Macaca mulatta: one gene and its partner. The protein of the gene in region 2 interacts with the protein of the main gene of each other region in a pairwise test. Links are inferred from orthologs where the notes say so. Each region holds a gene or a part of one and is shown on either strand. Other genes may lie near its edges. The genes, in order: FXN and DAPP1.

Region 1 (10,710 bases), on a different chromosome or scaffold from region 2:
ACACTCACCACGAAGGTCTGCAACTTCATTTCTAAAGTCAATGAGACCACGAACCCACCGGGAAGAACGAGCAACTCCAGACGCACTGCCTTAAAGAGCTGTAACACTCACCACCAAGGTCTGCAGCTTCACTCCTGACAGCGAGACCACGAACCCACCAGAATGGAAGAAGCTCCAGACACATCTGACCATCTGAAGGAACAAACTCTGGACACACCATCTTTAAGAACTGTAACACTTACCGCGAGGGTCCGCGGCTTCATTCTTGAAGTCAGTGAGAACAAGAACCCACCAATTCTGGACACAAAAGAATGGACAGCATCCCTGCTGTCAAGGAGCTCAGTCTATTATAGGTGGTAGCTGACATGTAAATAGACAATTATAACACAGAGGGATCAGTGCTCCACAGAGTCATCCTCAGAGTGCTGGGCAAGGGAGAAAGGAAGGACCATGTCTGCTTAAGAGTATCTAGGAAAGCTTCACAAAGGAGGTAACTTCCAGCTATACCTCAGGGGAGGAAAAGACTGCCCTCCCACAAAGCTCAAGTAATATTAATACCAAACATGAAATACATAAATTAGTTAGCACGTGAAGGACTCTAATCAGTAATTCACACTCTAGGGTACAGAGTTAGCATTTCAATGTAGTTAATCACAAGTCCAAACTACAGATGGCAGCCACTATATATCTTTAGCTTTCTAAATCTACACTTAAAACATTTGCTAATTAGTAAATGATTTGTTAGAAACAATTTTACCCTTGAGTGATACTCAAAGCATATGAATTGGCTAGAAAAATATAGGCATCTCTTCCTTTGAAAGAATAGGTTACAGAATCTGGAAAGCCTACCAGCCTAATATTGTCTTCAGAGAGACACACTCAGGGCAGGAATTAGGAAGGTTCTGTGACCCACTACTGAGAGCAGAAGGTTTTGTCACCTGGTTCAAATTGAGTCAATGATGTGAGAAATAAAAATAAAATCCTAAGCTCCCAACTGACTCAACAAACCATCTCTTGGCCAAGGGGAGCCCAGAGATACCTTAAAAAAATTTCAGTTTTGGCCATGATGGGAAAGGAGTTTCAACAGGCCTTGTTCTACTCCCTCCCTCACTAACTGCCATTAGTTTCTTTTCCCCCCTAAGGGCTAAACAGAAACTAGCCCTTCAAAAGACTAACTTGAGGCCATGTGTGGTGGCTCACGCCTGTAATCCCAGCACTTTGGAGCTGCCTGTAATCCCGGCACTTTGGGAGGCCGAAGCAGGTGGATTACCTGAGGTGAGGAGTTCAAGACTAGCCTGACAACAACAGGGCGAAACCCCGTCTATACTAAAAATATAAAAAAATATTAGCCGGGCGTGGTGGCAGGCACCTGTAGTCCCAGCTGCTTGGGAGGCTGAGACAAGAGAATCGCTTGAGCCCAGGAGGCGGAGGTTGCGGTGAGCCAAGATCGCGCCACTACACTCCAGCCTAGGCTACAGAGCGAGACTCTGTCTCAAAAAGAAAAAGAAAAAAAAAAAAAAAAGACTGACTTCACCACTGGTATCAACCAAACCAATCATCTAATTCTGCTCTTCCCTCACTGTCCTTATAGTCAGGCTTGATACCTTCTGGAAGACTTGGTTGCTTGCTCCATCATGCGGAATGCCTTCTCCATCCAGTGCTCCCGCTGCAATTTCCAACACCATTTCTATCCCTTTAGTCTGATGGCTGATTGCCCTCAACAATTCCATGATTGAATCCAAAATACACGCTTTGTGACATTTCCTGGTATTAGTTAATTGCCATCAAGAGGATTAACATCTTTGAGGGGCTGGGCGCTGTGGCTCACACCTGTAATCCCAGCACTTTGGGAGGCTGAGGTAGGAGGATTACTTGAGTTCAGGAGTTCAAAACCAGCCTGGCCAATGTGGTGAAACACTGTCTCTACTAAAAATACAAAAATTAGCTGGGTGTGGGGGCGTGTGCCTGTAATTCCAGCTACTCGGGAGGTTGAGGCAGGAGAATTGCTTGAACCCGAGAAGCAGAGGTTGCAGTGAGGTCATGCCACTGCTCTCCAGCCTGAATAACAGACGGAGACTCCGTCTCAAAAAACAAACAAACAAACAGACAAACAAACCAACCCAGAAAACCATCTTCGAGGGATTTTCTGCCTCTGGCAAAAAAGAACTACTCTAAGGCCTAAGCAATAATTCTAATTCCAAAGGCAGACCCTTGCCCAAATCTGCCACCTGGTGGCCAGTCGATAAAGACCAGCACTTCCCTGGCTTCTAGGATCTGGGGCTAATGTTTCATCCAACTCAGAAGTTCTCACACCAAGCCTGATCTGGTGGCTCATGCCTGTAATCCCAACACTTTGGAAGGCTGAGGGGGGTGCACCATTTGAGGTCAGGAGATCAAGACCAGCCTAACCAACATGGTGAAACCCCATCTTTACTAAAATACAAAAAGTAGCCGGGCATGGTGGCAGATGCCTGTAATCCCAGCTACTTGGGAGGCTGAGGCAGGAGAATTGCCTGAACCCAGGAGGCGGAGGTCACAGTGACCCGAGATTGCGCTACTGCACTCCAGTCTGGGCGACAGAGTGAGACACCCTCAAAAAAAAAAAAAAAAAAAAAAACAAGTTCTCATACTAGCTGCACACTGGAATTATCTGTGGAACTTAAAAATTCCAGTGCCCTGCCCAGGCCATGCCACACCCCAGTCCAAGTAATCAAAATCTCTAGGAACAAGACCTAGAGAGACACATTAGAATCCCAGGTGAGCTTTTCAAAAATATGCTTCTCAGGAATGCACCCGACCTACCCCATCACTGTCTCACAGGAGCAGGGCTCAACTCTCTGTAATCTGAATAACTTCTGGGCAGTTCTCTTACCCCTGCTGAAGAACTGTAGGTCTAGTTTGTTGTTTGCTCCATCTGCCTGCCGGACAAACACACATTCTGGCCCCTCTCTGATTTGTCTTCATGGGTATCCACTGAAGCCGGAAAATGAGGCTCAGAGAGGCTGAGTGACTTGCCCAGGGTCACAACAAGCCTGGCAGAGCTGGGCTGCAGCTTGAAGCCTAGTCTTATCTATTTATTTATTTGAGACGGAGTCTTGCTCTGCAGCCCAGGCTGGAGTGTAGTGGCGTGATTTCGGCTCACTGCAACCTCCGCCTCCCGGAGCCCTAGTCTTTTAATCCCACCCACAACTCCAATGTACGTGATGCTTAGCTCTGCTGCAGGGGAATTCTTCATTTTAGTGAACTAAAATTCTTAGAGGGGGAAACAGAAAAATAAAAGAAGTCAAGAGGTACCCCAAAGGAAACATCATAGTCCTCAAAGGTGTATGGCTTGTCTGCAAGGTCTTCAAAAAACTCTGCTAAAGAGTCCAGCGTTTCCTCTGCTAGTCTTTCATAGGTGGTGTCATCTAGAGAGCTGCAGGGGAAACACAAAACCCAAAACACGATTACCAAACACTTCCATTTTACTAATACCAAATTTACACACTTGTTATTTAAGTTCATTAAACTGATGAAAATAACATGTACAAAGTAAAATTTTGTCCTTTTTCTTTCGAGACGGAGTCTCACTCTGTCACCCAGGCTGGAGTGCAGTATCTGGTCTAAACTCCTGATATCAAGTGAGCCACGTGCCTCGGCCTCTCGAAATGTTAGGATTACAGGTGTGAGGCACCATGCCTGGCCCAAAGTAAAAATTTAAACAGCACGGAAGGGGTTACAGAAAGAAGCAGGCAGCCCCCATTCCCAGAAGCAGCTACAAATAATAGTCCTTTCTGGGCCAGGTGGCAAGGTGGCTCATGCCTGTAATCCCAGCACTTTGGAAGGCCGAGGTGGGTGGCTCACCTGAGGTCAAGAGTTCGAAACTAGCCAGGTCAATATGGCGAAACCCTGTATCTATTAAAAATACAAAAATTATCATGTCCTTTGCAGGGGCATGGATGAAGCTGGAAATCATCATTCTCAGCAAACTAACACACGAACAGAAAACCAAACACCACATGTTCTCACTCATAAGTGGGAGTTGAACAATGAGAACACATGGACACAGGGAGGGGAACATCATACACTGGGGCCTGTCGGGGGTGTGGGGGGCAAGGGGAGGGAGAACATTAGGACAAATATCTAATGCATGAGAGGCTTAAAGCCTAGACGACGGGTTGATGGGTGCAGCAAACTACCATGGCACACGTTTATCTATGTAATAAACCTGCACATTCTGCACATGTATCACAGAACTTACAGTATAATAATAATAATAATAAATTAGCTGTGTGTGGTGGCGTGACCTTGTAGTTCCAGCTACTCGTGATGGTGAGGCACAAGAATTGCTTGAAACCAGGAGGCAGAAGTTGTAGTGAGCTGACATCGTGCCACTGTACTCCAGCCTGGGTGACAGAGCGAGGCTGTCTCAGAAAAAAAAAAAAAAAGTCTTTTCTGTATCCTTCTATCTGCATATTCTTTCTAATATACAAATGAAGCATTTTGCATTTTTTCACTTAATTGTGTCTTAGAAATTTGCATTTTTTCACTTAATTATGTCTTAGAAATTGTTCTATATTAGCACCTATGGATTTTTATAATATTTAATTTTATGTTATTTATCCAGTCCTCTTTAGCTGGACATGAAGGATGCTTCCATTGCTTTTGTTATTAAAATTTTGCTTTTGCCCAAAATTTTGTTGGGCAAATCACAAAGTGGGAGAAAATATTCATATTACATACATCTGAAAAATGATTCATCCAGAATATATAAAGAACACCGGCTGGGCGCAGTGGCTCACGCCTGTAATCCCAGCACTTTGGATGGATGAGGTGAGTGGATCACTTGAGGTCAGGAGTTCGAGATCAGCCTGGCCAACATGGTGAAACTCCGTCTCTACTAAAAATACAAAAATTAGCCGGGTGTAGTGGCAGGTGCCTGTAATCCCAGCTACTCGGGGGCCTGAGGCAGGAGAATCACTTGAACCCAGGAGGCGGAGGTTACAGTGAGCTGAGATCGCGCCACTGCCCCCTCTACTCTACCCTGGGTGACAGAGTGAGTGAAACCCTGTCTCAAAGAAAAAAAAAAAAAAGAAGACCTACAAATAAATAAGAAAAAGAAAAATCAACAGAAATAAAAATGGGCAAAATACTTGAATAGATTTCATAAATAAAAGATACCCAAATGCCCAATGAACACATAAAAAGGTGTTCAACTTTGTTAATCTTCAGGAAAATGGAAATTAAAAAATCACAGTGAGATGCCACCAGAATGGTTAAAATGTAAAAGGGCGGGAACCCTCATAGCACCAGTGATGAAAGAGAGAATTTAATGCGGGTGATGTTGGGAAAGATTTTTGTTCAGAAGTATGCCCAGTGCCACACTATGGAAAAGGGGGCAAGCACAAAACTGAGCCAAATCTCCATGGTCTGTCTTTTTGGGCAGAAGACAGGTCAGGCCATTGGATTCCCTTACACAGACGCCAATAAGAACAAAGGCATCACCTGGGGAGAGGACACACTGATGGAGTATTTGGAGAATCCCAAGAAGTACATCCCTGGAACAAAAATGATCTTTGCCAGCATTAAGAAGGCGGCAGAAAAGACAGACTTGGTAGCTTATCTCAAAAAAGCTACTAATGAATAATAATTATCCACTGTCTTATTTATTACAAAACAGAAATGTCTTATGACCCTTTTATGTGTACCATCATTTAACAGACCTCATAAACCAGAATTCAGATCATGAATGACTGACAGAATATGTTTGTTGGGCAGTCCTGATTTAACTAAGACTGGCTTGTGGTTAAATGAGTATGTTCGGTGTTTTGAATTTTAATGGTAATTCTGGGCCTGGTGTGGTGGCTCACGCCTGTAATCCCAGCACTCTGGGAGGCTGAGGCAGGCGGATCACCTGAGGTGAGGAGTTCAAGACCAGCCTGAACAATATGGTGAAACCCTGTCTCTACTAAAAATACAAAAATTAGCTGGGCTTGTAGTGCACGCCTATAGTCTCCAGCTACTTGGGAGGCTGAGACAGGAGAATCGCTGAAATCCTGGAGGCGGAGGTTGCAGTGAGCTGAGATTGCGCCACTGCACTCCAGCCTGGGTGACAGAGTGAGACTCCGTCTCAAAAAAAGAAAAAAAAAAAAAAAAAAAGGTTGGGTGTGGTGGTTCATGCCTGTAATCCCAGCATTTTGGGAGGCTGAGGCAGGTAGATCACCTGAGGTCAGGAGTTCGAGACCAGTCTTGCCAACATGGTGAACCCTCGCCTCTACTAAAAATATACAAATTAGCTGGGCATGGTGGGGCGAGTCTGTAATCCCAGCTACTCGGGAGGCTGAGGCAGGAGAATCGCTTGAATCCAGGGGGCGGAGGTTGCAGTGAGCCGAGGTGGCGCCACTGCATTCTAGCCTGGGCAACAAGAGCAAAACTCTATCTCAAAACAAAAAACAAAACAAAACAAAAAAACCCACAAAAAAACCCAAGTTACTCTGATTCAGTAAATACTATCATTGTTTATTCCTTCTAAAGATATGATCAGATTTCATTAGTAATGTTCAACTTTTCACAAAGATGATGAATGCCATCTTAAAATCTATTGGAGATTTTTTTATATTTAGATTTATGTAACTGGTTATGTAAATATATTTAAATACTGGAGGAAATTCCTTCACTGTCTCAGAACCCAGCAAGATTCACCTGTATTTTGTGTTCATTTGCCTCTTAAAGGCAAGGGCTGAAGATAAGGTAGCAATGTCAACTTTATATTTTTGGCCTTAACTGTGCCAATCCAATTAGAATTTTCTGTATCTAAAATGGGTCATTTTACTTACTGAAAGACATTTTAGTGTGGTTTATGTGTAATATCAAAAAAAGATTATTTAACACTTCTCACATTAAAGAAAAAAAAAGAAAAGAAAGAGACAGATCGTATCAAGAGCTGGCCATGGGCTGGGTGCAGTGGCTCATGCCTGTAATACCAGCACTTTGGGAGGTCAAGGGAGAAGGATCACTTGAACCCAGGAGTCTGAGACAACGTAGAGACCCCATCTCTACAAACAAATTAAAAAAACTAGCTGGGTGTGGCACATGCCTGTAGTTCTGGCTCCTCAGGAGCCTGAGGTGGGAGGGATCACCCAAGCCAGGGAGGTCAAGGCTGCGGTGAGCTGTGATGGCGCCATTGCATTCCATCCTGGGTGACAAAGTGAAACCCTGTCTTTACAGTAAAATAAAAGAAAAGAAAAAAGAGCTGGCCAAGAAAAGAAGCAACTAGACTTTTCAGATACTGCTGATAGGCAAGTAAGTGGGACAATCACTTTGGAAAACTGTTGGACAGTATCTACTAAAGTTGAATGCATTTACATGCTATGACCCATCAGTTCCACTCCTAGGGGCTACACCCAACAGACATGTGTGCCCAGGTTCACCAAAAGACATGTGCTACACTAAAATATTTGTATCATAACTATCCTATAGCCCCAAACTGGAAACTGTCCAAGTACTCCTTTGTAATACCATAGATAAATAAATTATGGTATATTCATACAATGGAATACTACACTGCAAAATAGAATTGTCTATAGGAACCGTATGGATGAATCTCACAAACATCATTGTGATAGAAAGAAATACACAAGTATACACAAACATGGTTATACTTAATGAGACAGTTTAGTGAAAGACAGGCAGAACTAACCTATGCTATTGGTAATCAGAATAGTTAAACTCTGAGGGGTTAATGACTAGAAGGAAGAGAGGGAGGGGTTAATGGCTAGAAGTGAGCAGGCAGCTTGCTTGCAGCGGCTGGTAACATTCTATGTCTTGAGCTTACAGGGTATGTTCACGGGACTGTTCAATTTTTTGCAAATTCATCAAGCTGTATGCTCGTGACTGGACACATTTCTTTACAGATACTATTTTTCAAATTTAAAATTACTTTAAATCCACAGAGACAGAAAGTAGATTAGTGATTGCTGGGTTTTAGGGAAAGGCGGAATGGGGGAGTGACTGCTAATACAAATAGGGTTTCCTTCTGGAGTAATGAAAATGTTCCAGAATTAGATAGTGGTGATAGCTGCACAAACTTGTGAATATACTAAAAACGCTTGCATTATACATTTTAAAATGGTGAGTTTATGGCATGTAAATTATAACAACAAAAGTATTATTATAATAAATATCCTTATAAGAGCTTTTGTGCCCCTGTGAGGATATATTAATATCTGTAGGTTATAAGATATGTAACAGACAACTCCACTATCTGAAAGTTTCCAAGGGGCCTAAAAGTAAGACACCAGGGGCTGCTAGACAATTACTGTAAGACATACAGATCTGCCATATGACCCTCTTCCCCGCCCAGTCCATCACCCACTTCCAGGATACAATGTGGGGAAGGCTACCTGACTGGATTGGTGAGGAGATGTCCTTTAAAAGGAGTGGTTGGCCTGATAGGGTGTGTTTTGAGAGTGAGCTGGAGAGAAAGGGTGTGTTTTGAGAGTGAGCTGGACAGATAGGGTGTGTTTTGTGAGTGAGCTGGACAGATAGGTTGTGTTTTGAGAGTGAGCTGGAGAGAATGGGTAGGAGAGGTTGGTTGACATGTGTTGAAGAATTTGAGAAACATAAAGACACAACCGACTTTATACCTGACAGTTATAAAGTCCAAAGTGAAGAGGTTGGAAGGTGCTACCTGCCAGCAGAGAGCTGGGCCCTGGCAGAAGTGGGCTGTCTTCCTACACATGGCAGGTCAAGGGTGTGCTTCCCACAGGCCAGAGGGAGCTGAACTTGGGGCATCCTGCAAGGGCCCTATGCAACCTCCCAGACTGCCAGAAGGAGTAAGGAGAAAACGACAGAGAGTCTGTTGAGGGGGGAATGCTGGAAGCCGAGGCTGGAAATGGATGCCACCAAAGCAAAAAACTCAAACATGCAGCATGCTGTGCCCCTTTGAGACTGTGGCAAAGTCAATGAACAGACACCGCAGGCTGGGAGGTTCAGAGTCTCTTCAGACCTTGTGAGCCATGCAAAGCTCTCTGGAAATCTGAGTCTCAGAAAACCTGGAGGGCCAACTGTAAGCCTACTGAGCATATAGCTCTGGGGACAGTTAGAATGTTCCTGAATACGGGTGGCTTCTTATTGTTTTTAATAGATGTGACAAGAAAAGAGTAAGCCAGCAGATGGAATGAAATGGAGCATTGGAAATAAAAGGCTGCACAAACGTGGAAAGTCAAAGGGAGAATCTAAGGCTTTTTTTTTCTTCTTCTTTTTTTGAGATGGAGTTTTGCTCTTGTTACCCAGGCTGGAGTGCAATGGCATGATCTCGGCTCACTGCAGTCTCTGTCTCCCGGGTTCAAGCGATTCTCCTGCCTCAGGCTCCCAAGTAGCTGGGATTACAGGTGCCCGCTACCACGTCCAGCTAATTTTTTGTATTTTTAGTAGAGACACGGTTTCACCATGTTGGCCAGGCTGGTCGTGAGTGAACTCCTGGCCTCAGGTGATCTGCTCGCCTTGGCCTCCCAAAGTGCTGGGATTACAGGCATGAGCCACTGCACTCAGCCAGAGAAGCTAAGGCTTTGAACAGCAAAGGTTTCCCATTGAGCCAAAACAAGACACCCAGTCCAGCTGCAAAACACAGGCTGAGGGCATTGCTGGTCTCCAATCTTATTGTTTAACATGACCTCATGGTACCTGCCCTTAGGCTGAGAGAGCTGGGCATGGGGGCATGCAAGGAGATAAGGCAGCCTGAGGCTCCCATCCAGGGAGGAAATTTGGATGTGGTTCCTGGCACATAGGACTGCCTGAAAATGAATAAATCAGAAGCCTACTTTTGGGAGAAGCCTACTCTCAAAGAAAAACGAGTCTGGGTTGGGCGCGGTGGCTCATGCCTGTAATCCCAGCACTCTGGGAGGCCGAGGTGGGTGGATCACCCGAGGTCAGGAATTTGAGACTAGCTTGGCCAACATGGTGAAACCCCGTCTCTACTAAAAATACAAAAATTAGCAAGGTGTGGCGCTGCATGCCTATAGTCCCAGCTACTCAGGAGGCTGAGGCAGGAGAATTGCTTGAACCCGGGGGGTGGAGGCTGCAGTGAGCCAAGATTGCACCACTGCACTCCAGCCTGGGTCACAGGGTGTGATTTCATAAAAAACAAAACAAAACAACAGAGAGAGAGGAAAAAAAAATGAGTCTGGCCTGAAATAGCTGATTGGAGTCTTAAAACAGCCTGTGGAACCCCAAACTGTTATCAGCAGGAAGTGGGCTGTGAAGGCTGCTCACCCCTGAGGAGGGCACCCTTCCCACTGCCTGCCTCCCCTGTGGCCAAGGAAAATAACAGACAAGAAGGAGGAGGAGGAGCCCCCCGGGAAGCTGAAGCAGGGATTTTGGAGGCAAATGCTCCTCTGCCAGGGTAGAGGTTGACCCAGTGCTGTCCAGCAAGTCTCCAGGGCTGCGGGTGGTCAGCACTGTGCCTCTTTTCCGAATGGAGTTACGGCTGCAGTTATCCTGCCCCTCTCCATTGTGTGTGTCTGTGTGTGTGCGCGTGTGTGTGTGTGTCTGTTTGTGTCTGTGTGTAGGTTTTGAAGAAGCCATTACTAAAGCTGACAGAGAGGAGACTGCATGTCACCTGGAAATCTCGGACTTGGAGGTGGCTGTGGTGACCACACAAGCATCGGTTGGCTCTCTTGGGGCTGGGGATAAATGCATCTGAGTGTGGAAGGAGGGTCCATGCAGATACTG
Region 2 (10,710 bases):
CGTGCAGGTTTGTTACATATGTATACTTGTGCCATGTTGGTGTGCTGCACCCATCAACTCGTCATTTACATCAGGTATAACTCCCAATGCAATCCCTCCCCCCTCCCCACTCCCCCTTCCCCATGATAGGCCCTGGTGTGTGATGTTCCCCTTCCTGAGTCCAAGTGATCTCATTGTTCAGTTTCCACCTATGAGTGAGAACATGTGGTGTTTGGTTTTCTGTTCTTGTGATAGTTTGCTAAGAATGATGGTTTCCAGCTGCATCCATGTCCCTACAAAGGACACAAACTCATCCTTTTTTATAGCTGCATAGTATTCCATGGTGTATATGTGCCACATTTTCTTAAACCAGTCTGTCACTGATGGACATTTGGGTTGATTCCAAGTCTTTGCTATTGTGAATAGTGCCGCAATAAACATACGTGTGCATGTGTCTTTATAGCAGCATAATTTATAATCCTTTGGGTATATACCCAGTAATGGGATGGCTGGGTCATATGGTACATCTAGTTCTAGATCCTTGAGGAATCGCCATACTAAGCAACTTCAGCAAAGTCTCAGGATACAAAATTAATGTGCAAAAATCACAAGCATTCTTATACACCAGTAACAGACAAACAGAGAGCCAAATCAGGAATGAACTTCCATTCACAATTGCTTCAAAGAGAATAAAATACCTAGGAATCCAACTTACAAGGGATGTAAAGGACCTCTTCAAGGAGAACTACAAACCACTGCTCAGTGAAATCAAAGAGGACACAAACAAATGGAAGAACATACCATGCTCATGGATAGGAAGAATCAATATCGTGAAAATGGCCATACTGCCCAAGGTAATTTATAGATTCAATGCCATCCCCATCAAGCTACCAATGAGTTTCTTCACAGAATTGGAAAAAACTGCTTTAAAGTTCATATGGAACCAAAAAAGAGCCCGCATCTCCAAGACAATCCTAAGTCAAAAGAACAAAGCTGGAGGCATCATGCTACCTGACTTCAAACTATAATACAAGGCTACAGTAACCAAAACAGCATGGTACTGGTACCAAAACAGAGATATAGACCAATGGAACAGAACAGAGTCCTCAGAAATAATACCACACATCTACAGCCATCTGATCTTTGACAAACCTGAGAGAAACAAGAAATGGGGAAATGATTCCCTATTTAATAAATGGTGCTGGGAAAATTGACTAGCCATAAGTAGAAAGCTGAAACTGGATCCTTTCCTTACTCCTTATACGAAAATTAATTCAAGATGGATTAGAGACTTAAATGTTAGACCTAATACCATAAAAATCCTAGAGGAAAACCTAGGTAGTACCATTCAGGACATAGGCATGGGCAAAGACTTCATGTCTAAAACACCAAAAGCAACGGCAGCAAAAGCCAAAATTGACAAATGGGATCTCATTAAACTAAAGAGCTTCTGCACAGCAAAAGAAACTACCATCAGAGTGAACAGGCAACCTACAGAATGGGAGAAAATTTTTGCAATCTACTCATCTGACAAAGGGCTAATATCCAGAACCTACAAAGAACTCAAACAAATTTACAAGAAAAAAACAAACAACCCCATCAAAAAGTGGGCAAAGGATATGAACAGACATTTCTCAAAAGAAGACATTCATACAGCCAACAGACACATGAAAAAATGCTCATCATCACTGGCCATCAGAGAAATGCAAATCAAAACCACAATGAGATACCATCTCACACCAGTTAGAATGGCGATCATTAAAAAGTCAGGAAACAACAGGTGCTGGAGAGGATATGGAGAAATAGGAACACTTTTACACTGTTGGTGGGCTAACTTTTCTTATTGAGTCTCCATTTCTCCCAAATGGTAAGAAAGTTAATCCAGTCCCCACCAGGTTCATCCAGGCAATTGCAATCATTGTCCAGACCTTTCAGGTCCTCCCCACCCCACACCTGCTTCTTCCTGGCTGGCACCCCAGATCAGAGAGGCTGACCGAGCTTCTGGTAGTCAGGGGAGGTGGCTGGTTCTCAGCCAGGATCTGACACTCTGCCTTCCACTGACATGTAGCACGTTTTCTTGGGTTCTTAGGCACTTCTCCATGGATTAGGCAGCGGATGTGAGGACTCCATGAAATTTCCCTCAGCCACCCACCCATTAAGCTCAAACTGTTATTGTGTTACCGTTCTGATGGCACTTCCATATCCCATGGAGAGTCACTCTTCCCTTCATAGTGCAGTCCCTCAAGCTAATCTGGCCTCAGAGGCTCTCTCACTTCTTTTCCACTCTGCACGGTCACTACTTGTCACTAACTCAGTAGCAGCCTTCACACTCTGTCTTTGGGCTCCGGGCCTTGCCTCTATATTCATTTTCTATGCTACATAACAAATTATCAAAAACTTAGGCACTTAAAGTAACACAACTTGATTATCTCCGTTTCTGGCTGGATTCTCTGTCCAGGTCCTGCCAGGCTGGAATAAAGGTGTTGGAGAAGGTTCTGGCTCTGATCTGGCATTCAGTGTCTTCTTCCTTCATTTTCTCCTTTCCTCTTCATTCTTCTTCATCCATTCCCTTCCTGCTGTAGAACTGAGGTCCTCATTTTCCTTTTAGCTGTCAGCCAGAGGGGCATTCTTAACTCTGAGAGGCCACCCACAGTTCTTTGCCACATGGCCCCATGGCTGTTTACCACATCGGTGTTTGCTTTCTTGCATGCCAGCCAGAAAACATCTCCCTGACTTTTTCTTTGATGAGCAGCCAGAGAAAACTCTCTGTTTTACAGGGCTCATGTGATTAGTTTCAGGCCCACTCAGATAATGTCCATATCTTAACATCAACTGACTTAGGACTTTAAGGACCTGCAAAATCCCTTCCCAGTAGCATATAGACTAGCTTTTGATTGAATAATTGGCATAAAGTGTGTACTCCATGGGCTGGGACTTGGGGTCATCTTAAAATGCTGCCTGCCACAGCTCCCATTCCTGGAACAGTGAAAATCTACAGGCCTACTTGAAGTGGGTGTGCGAAACAGGTAGAGGGTGATGGGGTAAGTAGGGGTCACAGAGGAGAAAAAAGCATATTCATTAACATGTCACCCTGTTATATTTTATTTATACATTTTCTGAATAACATAGATGAAAAAATTATTAATCCAAGATGGAATTCTGTTTGAGTGGCAACAAGAATTGTGCTTTCTCTGCTCAACAGCAAATGTCAAAAGTCCATCTAATGGTTAAGTTGTAGATGCTTTATTGCATACACCAGAGGTCCCCAACATTTTTGGCACCTGGGACAATTTTTTCACAGACCGGGGCAGCAGCAGATGGTTTTGGGATGATTCAAGTGCATTACATTTATTGTGTGTTTTATTTCTGTTATTATTACACTGTAATGTATAATGAAATAATTATACAACTCACCGTCATTCAGTATCAGTGGCAGCCCTGAGCTTGTTTTCCTGAAACTAGATTGTCCCATCTGGGGGTGATGGGAGTCAGTAACAGTTCGTCAGGCATTAGATTAACATAGAGGCACACAGCCTAGATCGCTTGCATGTGCAGTTCACAACAGGGTTTGCGCTCCTATGAGAATCTATTGCCTCTACTGATCTGACAGGAGGTGGAGCTCAGTGAGAATGCAAACAATGGGGAGCAACTATAAATACAAATGAAGCTTCACTAGTTCACCCATCACTCATTTTCTTGCTGTGTGGCTGGCAGGGGGATGGATGGGGACCCCTGGCATGAATCTTCCAAAAATGAAAAGTTAATTAACTTTTCACCTATGTATGTCTCATCTGAGCAATTAGACCATAAGCTATTTATAAATCGATGACATATATTTCATATACATAAAGAATAAATTATTGATTTTCCTTACAATCACTAGAGAATGCTTATATTTAAAAAATGACCAGCAAAGGTGACAAAAACCACAGACTAATTCAGGAGAATGACTATTTTTGTTTTATGAACAAATATTCACTTATTTGTTCATTCTTTTACTGATGAATATTTGAAAGCATTGATTCTGCACCAGCCACGTTGGTAAGTGCTGTAGAACAGTGGTCCCCAACCTTTTTGGCACCAGGGACTGGTTTTGTGGGAAATGGGGGTTCAGGATGAAACTGTTCCACCTCAGATCATCAGGCATTAGATTCTCATGAGGAGTGTGCAGCCTAGATCCCTCACATGTGTTCACAATAGGGTTCAGGCTCCTGAGACTCTCATGCCTGATCTGACAGGAGGCAGAGCTCAGGCGGTAATGCTCACTCACTGCTCACCTCCTGCTGTGCGGCCTGGTTCCTAACAGGTACGCGGTCTGCAGTCCCAGGATGGGGGACCCCTGCTGTAGAAGATTCAAATACCTTATTTTGGGGAATTATAGCTTCACAGAGCCAAAAAGACCACATACAAGTAACATACTACAAAGTAGAGGTTGAGAAATAACATACAAGAAAGCAAGATAAGTGTTTAGGTGGTTCAGAAGAGAAAAAGCAATTAACTTTAAGCTGGAATTATCATGTAATACTTGACAGAGGAGGTAGTACTTGAACTGCAACTTAATGAGTGGCTAGGATTTCTACCAGCAGAGACAAAGAGAAACACTGTTTCAGGAAAAAGGAACAGTGTGAACTAAGGGACAGAAGTGGAAACTCCTTGAAGAGCAGTAGGTCCAGTTGGACTAGGGCAGCAGTTCTAAAGGTGTGGTCCGCAGACCAGGTGTGTCACCTGTTCTTAACATGCTAGGAATGCACAGTCTCAGGCCCCACCTTGGATCTACCAAATCTGAATCTGCAGGGGTGGAGGTGGAGGTGGCAGCAAGCTGGGTTCTCACAAGCCCGTCAGATGATTCTGATGCATGCTAACGTTGTAGCATGGGCTGCACTGAGAGGAATAGCAGGAAGTGAGGCTAGAAAGATAGAATGGGGTCAAATAAAGTGGAGAGGCAGATATATATATATATATATTATTTAATACTCTGCTCATTTCAAAAATGAAGTGGAAAATGACAACGTAGGAAATTTGATATTTTATTCAGTAGGCAGTGGAACATGCATGGGAGGAAAAGAGCTGGGCTCACATAACTAATCAAGCGACAGAGCTGAATTCTGATTGACTCCCAGACAAGCAAGGGAGAAAAGCCCAAGATGGAGGAGAGTGTGGTGAGGGTGTCATACGTCATTTCTGTCATTCCTATTCTCTGCCCTTCTTAAACTCATGCCCCATTAGCAGCATAATGTTCAAGGACTCTTTTGGTAAGTCTAGGAGTAGATAGGGAGAACAGTCTCTTGTCTTCCATTAGAGTAAAAAGTTGAGGCAGGGCGTGGTGGCTAACACCTGTAATCTCAGCTCTTTGGGAAGCCGAGGCGGGAGGATCACCTGAGGTCAGGAGTTCAAGACAAGCTGGGCCAACATGGCAAAACCCAGTCTTTACTAAATATGCAAAAATTAGCTGGACATCAAGGCAGACACCTCTAATCCCAGCTACTCAGGAGGCTGAGGCCAGAGAATCACTTGAATCCAGGAGGCGGAGGTTGCAGTGAGCTGAGATCATGCCACTGCACTCCCGCCTGGGCGACAGAGCAAGACTCTGTCTCAAAATAATAAATAAATAAATAAAAGTCGAAAAGAGCACACTCTGCCAAAAGAAACTGGTGATGCTCTTTAAAATTGTCAGTGGTTTCAATGATTGTCTAATTCTCAGCTCTTAGAAAGGGTTAATAGTGATGCTAACATCTAAGATCATATTTCCCTTCAACAAGGTATTTATTTGTTAAATAACATTAATTACTTATTTTTCCCTTTTAGGGCCAAAGATTCTGTTAAACACTTTCACGTTGAATATACTGGATATTCATTTAAATTTGGCTTTAATGAATTCGCATCTTTGAAGGATTTTGTCAAGCATTTTGCAAATCAGCCTTTGATTGGAAGCGAGACAGGTAAGCTATGAGCAGACATTTGACCTATGAAATATTGTTTCGGGATGGAGGAGAAACAAGGCAGATTTCAGTTGAAGAATGTCATGGTTGTCATTTATATTTCAACATTATCTTGAGGAGAAAACAATGTACTTTGTATAAAGTAGATATTTTCTCAGAATGTGTTACTTAATGGATTGATTAAAAGCATTTCTTCTTTTTTTTAATTTATTTATTATTATTATACTTTAAGTTGTAGGGTACATGTGCATAACGTGCAGGTTTGTTACATATGTATACTTGTGCCATGTTGGTGTGCTGCACCCATCAACTCGTCATTTACATCAGGTATAACTCCCAATGCAATCCCTCCCCCCTCCCCACTCCCCCCTCCCCATGATAGGCCCTGGTGTGTGATGTTCCCCTTCCTGAGTCCAAGTGATCTCATTGTTCAGTTCCCACCTATGAGTGAGAACATGCGGTGTTTGGTTTTCTGTTCTTGTGATAGTTTGCTAAGAATGATGGTTTCCAGCTTCATCCATGTCCCTACAAAGGACACAAACTCATCCTTTTTTATGGCTGCATAGTATTCCATGGTGTATATGTGCCACATTTTCTTAATCCAATCTGTCACTGATGGACATTTGGGTTGATTCCAAGTCTTTGCTATCATGAATAGTGCCGCAATAAACATACATGTGCATGTGTCTTTATAGCAGCATAATTTATAATCCTTTGGGTATATACCCAGTAATGGGATGGCTGGGTCATATGGTACATCTAGTTCTAGATCCTTGAGGAATCACCATACTGTTTTCTCAAAAGAAGACATTCATACAGCCAATAGACACATGAAAAAATGCTCATCATCACTGGCCATCAGAGAAATGCAAATCAAAACCACAATGAGATACCATCTCACACCCGTTAGAATGGCGATCATTAAAAAGTCAGGAAACAACAGGTGCTGGAGAGGATGTGGAGAAATAGGAGCACTTTTACACTGTTGGTGGGATTGTAAACTAGTTCAACCATTATGGAAAAGCATTTCTTTAAAATGGGCTGTCCATTTAAAAATAACATACACAATACACACAAAAAGAAGAAAGGTAAAAATGACGTTTTGATTACCCATAATTTCACGTATGGGCAGTTTGCACATGAGTGAGACCCACAGAAGTAAATTTTAAGCATTTTAAAAAGTGAAAATTCCCACTTAAATGTTCACAGGGATCGCTGAATATTGAAAATATTGACTAGGAAGTGCTCTCCTGAGTTATAAAATTCTGTTTCTATTGTCACAGTTTTTTAAATAAGATTTTAAGCTAGACTTAATTATGGCTGGAAAAGTTTGAATTGTCCTGTTTGAATGGTAAGAGAATTAAAGCAGAAAATTCGTGTTTAAAGAATAAACACAAAAAACAGTCTATCTTGGCACTTGAATTATCTAAGATTGAATATCTTGTTTATTTATATTATTTTAAAGAAGTAAATGTCATACCTGTATTTGTGATATAGAATCACAACACTTTTGTCCTAAATAATGATAAATCTCAGTTAATCAAAGACTAGGAAATTCCAAGAACCTGTGGCACAAGAGGAACTGAAGACTTAATAACACAACCGGTTACCATGAGTTTGAACATATGTGTTTTCTTGGCAAACTTGCCAGTGGGCTTTCTGTTAACTTCAGTGTGGTAGGAAGAGGGGGCATCATTGGCTTCTGTCTTTTCTGCTATTTATATGGCATGGATAGTCTCTGATGTGACTCAGACAGTGTCTAGTATACATGAAGTGCACAGTGGAAAACTGGAAAATCGTTGCTCTGCTTTATACTGACCACACCAAGCCTAAGACAGAATAATCCAAACTACAAACTGAAGCTATAACCTTTTTTCCCTTCTTTCTTCTGGTATATATTCTCCCAATCAACCTTGAAAATTACTTCACCATTTAACAAGCAGTTGTTCTCATGAACAAATGGCCAGTGGAGGTATATTTATTTCCATTGCTACCTTGGCCTTGGCAAGCATTTCAGTTTCTCAAATCCCTTCACTTCAGTCTCCTTTCCTACTTGCATCCAATTCTATACTGGATTTTGTTCAGTTATTGGTCACAGGCAATGGAGAGGAGATTTTTAAAGCCAGGGCTTTGTTTTGTGTACCTCTAATTTTTGTCTTTCATATCTGCCAGGTCCTGGCCCATTGCAGGGCATTTTGGGTAAATAAATAAATGAATAAATGGATAACTCTAAGTAAGAACTCTTTGTAGCCTTCGAAGCCACTAGCGTTGCCATTTTTCTGCTTTCTCTTTTTCCTCCAACCAAAGACAGCTCCCTTCTTTTAAACGCTTCTCCTAGGCTCTATTTTCAACTTCTTTGATCATTCCCTGTGCTCCTTCCTGACCCTCTCCAAGTTAGGGAAAAGATACATATTCTGCCTATTGGCAGATTTCAAAACATTTAAGATCAAAGTGAATGCAATGCTTTCTGGTTGAACCTTTCTGGCACTGATTCAATCACTAGGCAAGAGGATCACCTAAGGATGCTCCAAAATAAAGATGTTTTGATATTGCATTTGGGACAATGATAAGCTTCCTTGTAACTAACATGTTCTGAGTAAAGAAGCCTTATGATTAATGCATTAGAGATTGTAAGGATTTGTAATCCAGACTTCTACAGTAATTACTCTAAAACTCAAACTTGCTATATTATTATCTTGACTATAATTATCATTTTATTTATTACAATATAACTCAGGAACCTAATATTTTTATCCTCTCCACTGCCTCTCCTCTGTTCTACTCATTACCCAATGAAGAATTTGCTGCTGTTTGAATTCCTGCTTCCAGCCCCTGGTGCTGATGGATATGCACTTGACTTGCTAGCTTCCTGCCCTTGAGTTAGAGTCCGCTAGCTTTATTCCTCTTATCTGTCCCAGCCAGATGAAGGGAAAGCCATCAGGGCTAGGAACAACAGGCAAAACCCATGACAGATAAGTGTTCAAATCTTGCCCCTCTGGGAGTAATAGGCCTTGGGAAACAAGATAATGTGTTCAAGTCATGATGACTTGTAAGCCCAGAAAGTCCTCGAGGTTACAGAGTCAGCATTGCAGACTATAAAGAATGGTGAATGGAACCTGAGATGCCACCTTCTAAAAATAGGCCTTTTCTTCTTGTTCCTTTAAGCATGGGCTCTTAGTATTGGCTCCCAGTGATCAGCAGATCTTCAGGCTAATGATTTCATGTTCACCATTAGATGAAGTACGAATACTTCTTATAGTTTATGTTTGATTAACATCACCAGGAAAAGCATTTGTCCACACAATGGACAAGCCCCTCCCAGGGCTCTCAACTTCAGATTACCAGAATGAGAAGGACTAGAATTGGATATTTCAGGCCACTCCTGTCAGTCAGACCCCATGCAGGCCCAGCCTCACCCTGCAGGGCCTAGAGGGTAAGTTTATTAAAGAGAGACTTTCTTATAATACATTTATCTACTGGCACAAGTGGCATTACCTCTGAGGGCAACATAAATGATATCCAAATAACCAAAACTTTACACTTTTGCCTTGCAGTTATATATAATGCCTTCAGTAGAGTGAAACCCAGAATATTTGATTCTGGGTCATAAGAAAATCTTTGCACTCAAAATAGATAAAAGTGTTGACCTAAGGGGATTAATGCTATTTTAAGATATCTTTTTTTTCCTGTTCCCTACTCTTTACACTTTTAGGATTTCTGTTTGCTAATCTGAAAAGCAAGGATTTCCTAAGCAACATCTAAGCCTCTTGCCAACTTTAAGAGTATGTTATGATAATTTCCCTTTCCCTTGTCATAATCTCTATTTCATCTCTCTAATCTCCATTAAAGTTTCTGTTCACTCTAATTTATTTTTATCAATACTCATAAACACTCTTAAGATACTTCCAATTGTCAAAACCTAATAATTTCCTGAGTACATGATAGAGATATACAATGTACTCTCTTGCTTTATTTTTCTCAATGGCCCTTTTACCTTCTGACGTATATAATTCACTTATTTTTTTAAAAATACTTTTTTTTCCACACTAGTCTGGAAACTCCATGAAGAAAGGGATTTTTGTCAGCTTTGCTTCCTACTGTGTCCCAGGACCTGAAAAAATAAATACTAATCATTTCCACAATATGTCAGATGCCCCATTTCCAATGCCTGCATTGCAGTTTTTTATGGCAACACCAAAACTAGCAAACTTGTTACAATTTTAACTTTCAAAGTTTATAAAAGCATAATTTGAAATGATGTTTTGTGTTGCATGTATGCTCAGTGATGATTAAATTCAGAATTTGCCTTTCATTTGTGATACTGTTGCAGGACTTTTCCTTAGTTCAGCTAAAGATTGGGTCCCTCTCCATCCCCCAGACACAAAAATTTAGGCTTGCAGATGGTTTGAAGGGTGAGTGAAGCAGGGTTTTATTGGATGAAAAGAAAGAAAAGAGGGCCTAGCCAGGGTCCCTGCTAGAGCGCTGCCTGCCGAACAGTTTGAATTCTATGTTCCTCACAGGAAGAGGAAGGGCCAGGCTCCTCCCCGCTGCAAAGGGCACGGACTTCCTAAGGCTCCACCTCAGTGGGCAGGCAGGTTGGAGTTTTTCTGTCTTAATAGTAGGATATCAAATAAAACATATTCATGTCTGTGCACGAACTCTAAACTAAACTCAAATAGATTTGAAAATTTGAGAAACTTTTTTATTAGTATAAATATGTTTGGTCTATTGTTAATTTTGTCATATCCTCTTATAATTAGCTAAGTTTCATATATATAGTCTTGAAAATGTG

Evidence for each region.
Region 1: the proteins of DAPP1 (region 2) and FXN interact in binary tests that used the Homo sapiens proteins (3 or more experiments, as listed by UniProt). The link is inferred for Macaca mulatta from reciprocal best matches to the Homo sapiens genes DAPP1 and FXN.

The regions. Positions count from the first base shown.
Region 1 is NC_133420.1:100,090,848-100,101,557, reverse strand, and holds part of FXN (frataxin, mitochondrial), read right to left. Parts: intron 3,416-10,710; coding exon 3,295-3,415; intron 1-3,294.
Region 2 is NC_133410.1:109,152,959-109,163,668, forward strand, and holds part of DAPP1 (dual adapter for phosphotyrosine and 3-phosphotyrosine and 3-phosphoinositide), read left to right. Parts: intron 1-5,784; coding exon 5,785-5,918; intron 5,919-10,710. UniProt on the Homo sapiens protein: May act as a B-cell-associated adapter that regulates B-cell antigen receptor (BCR)-signaling downstream of PI3K.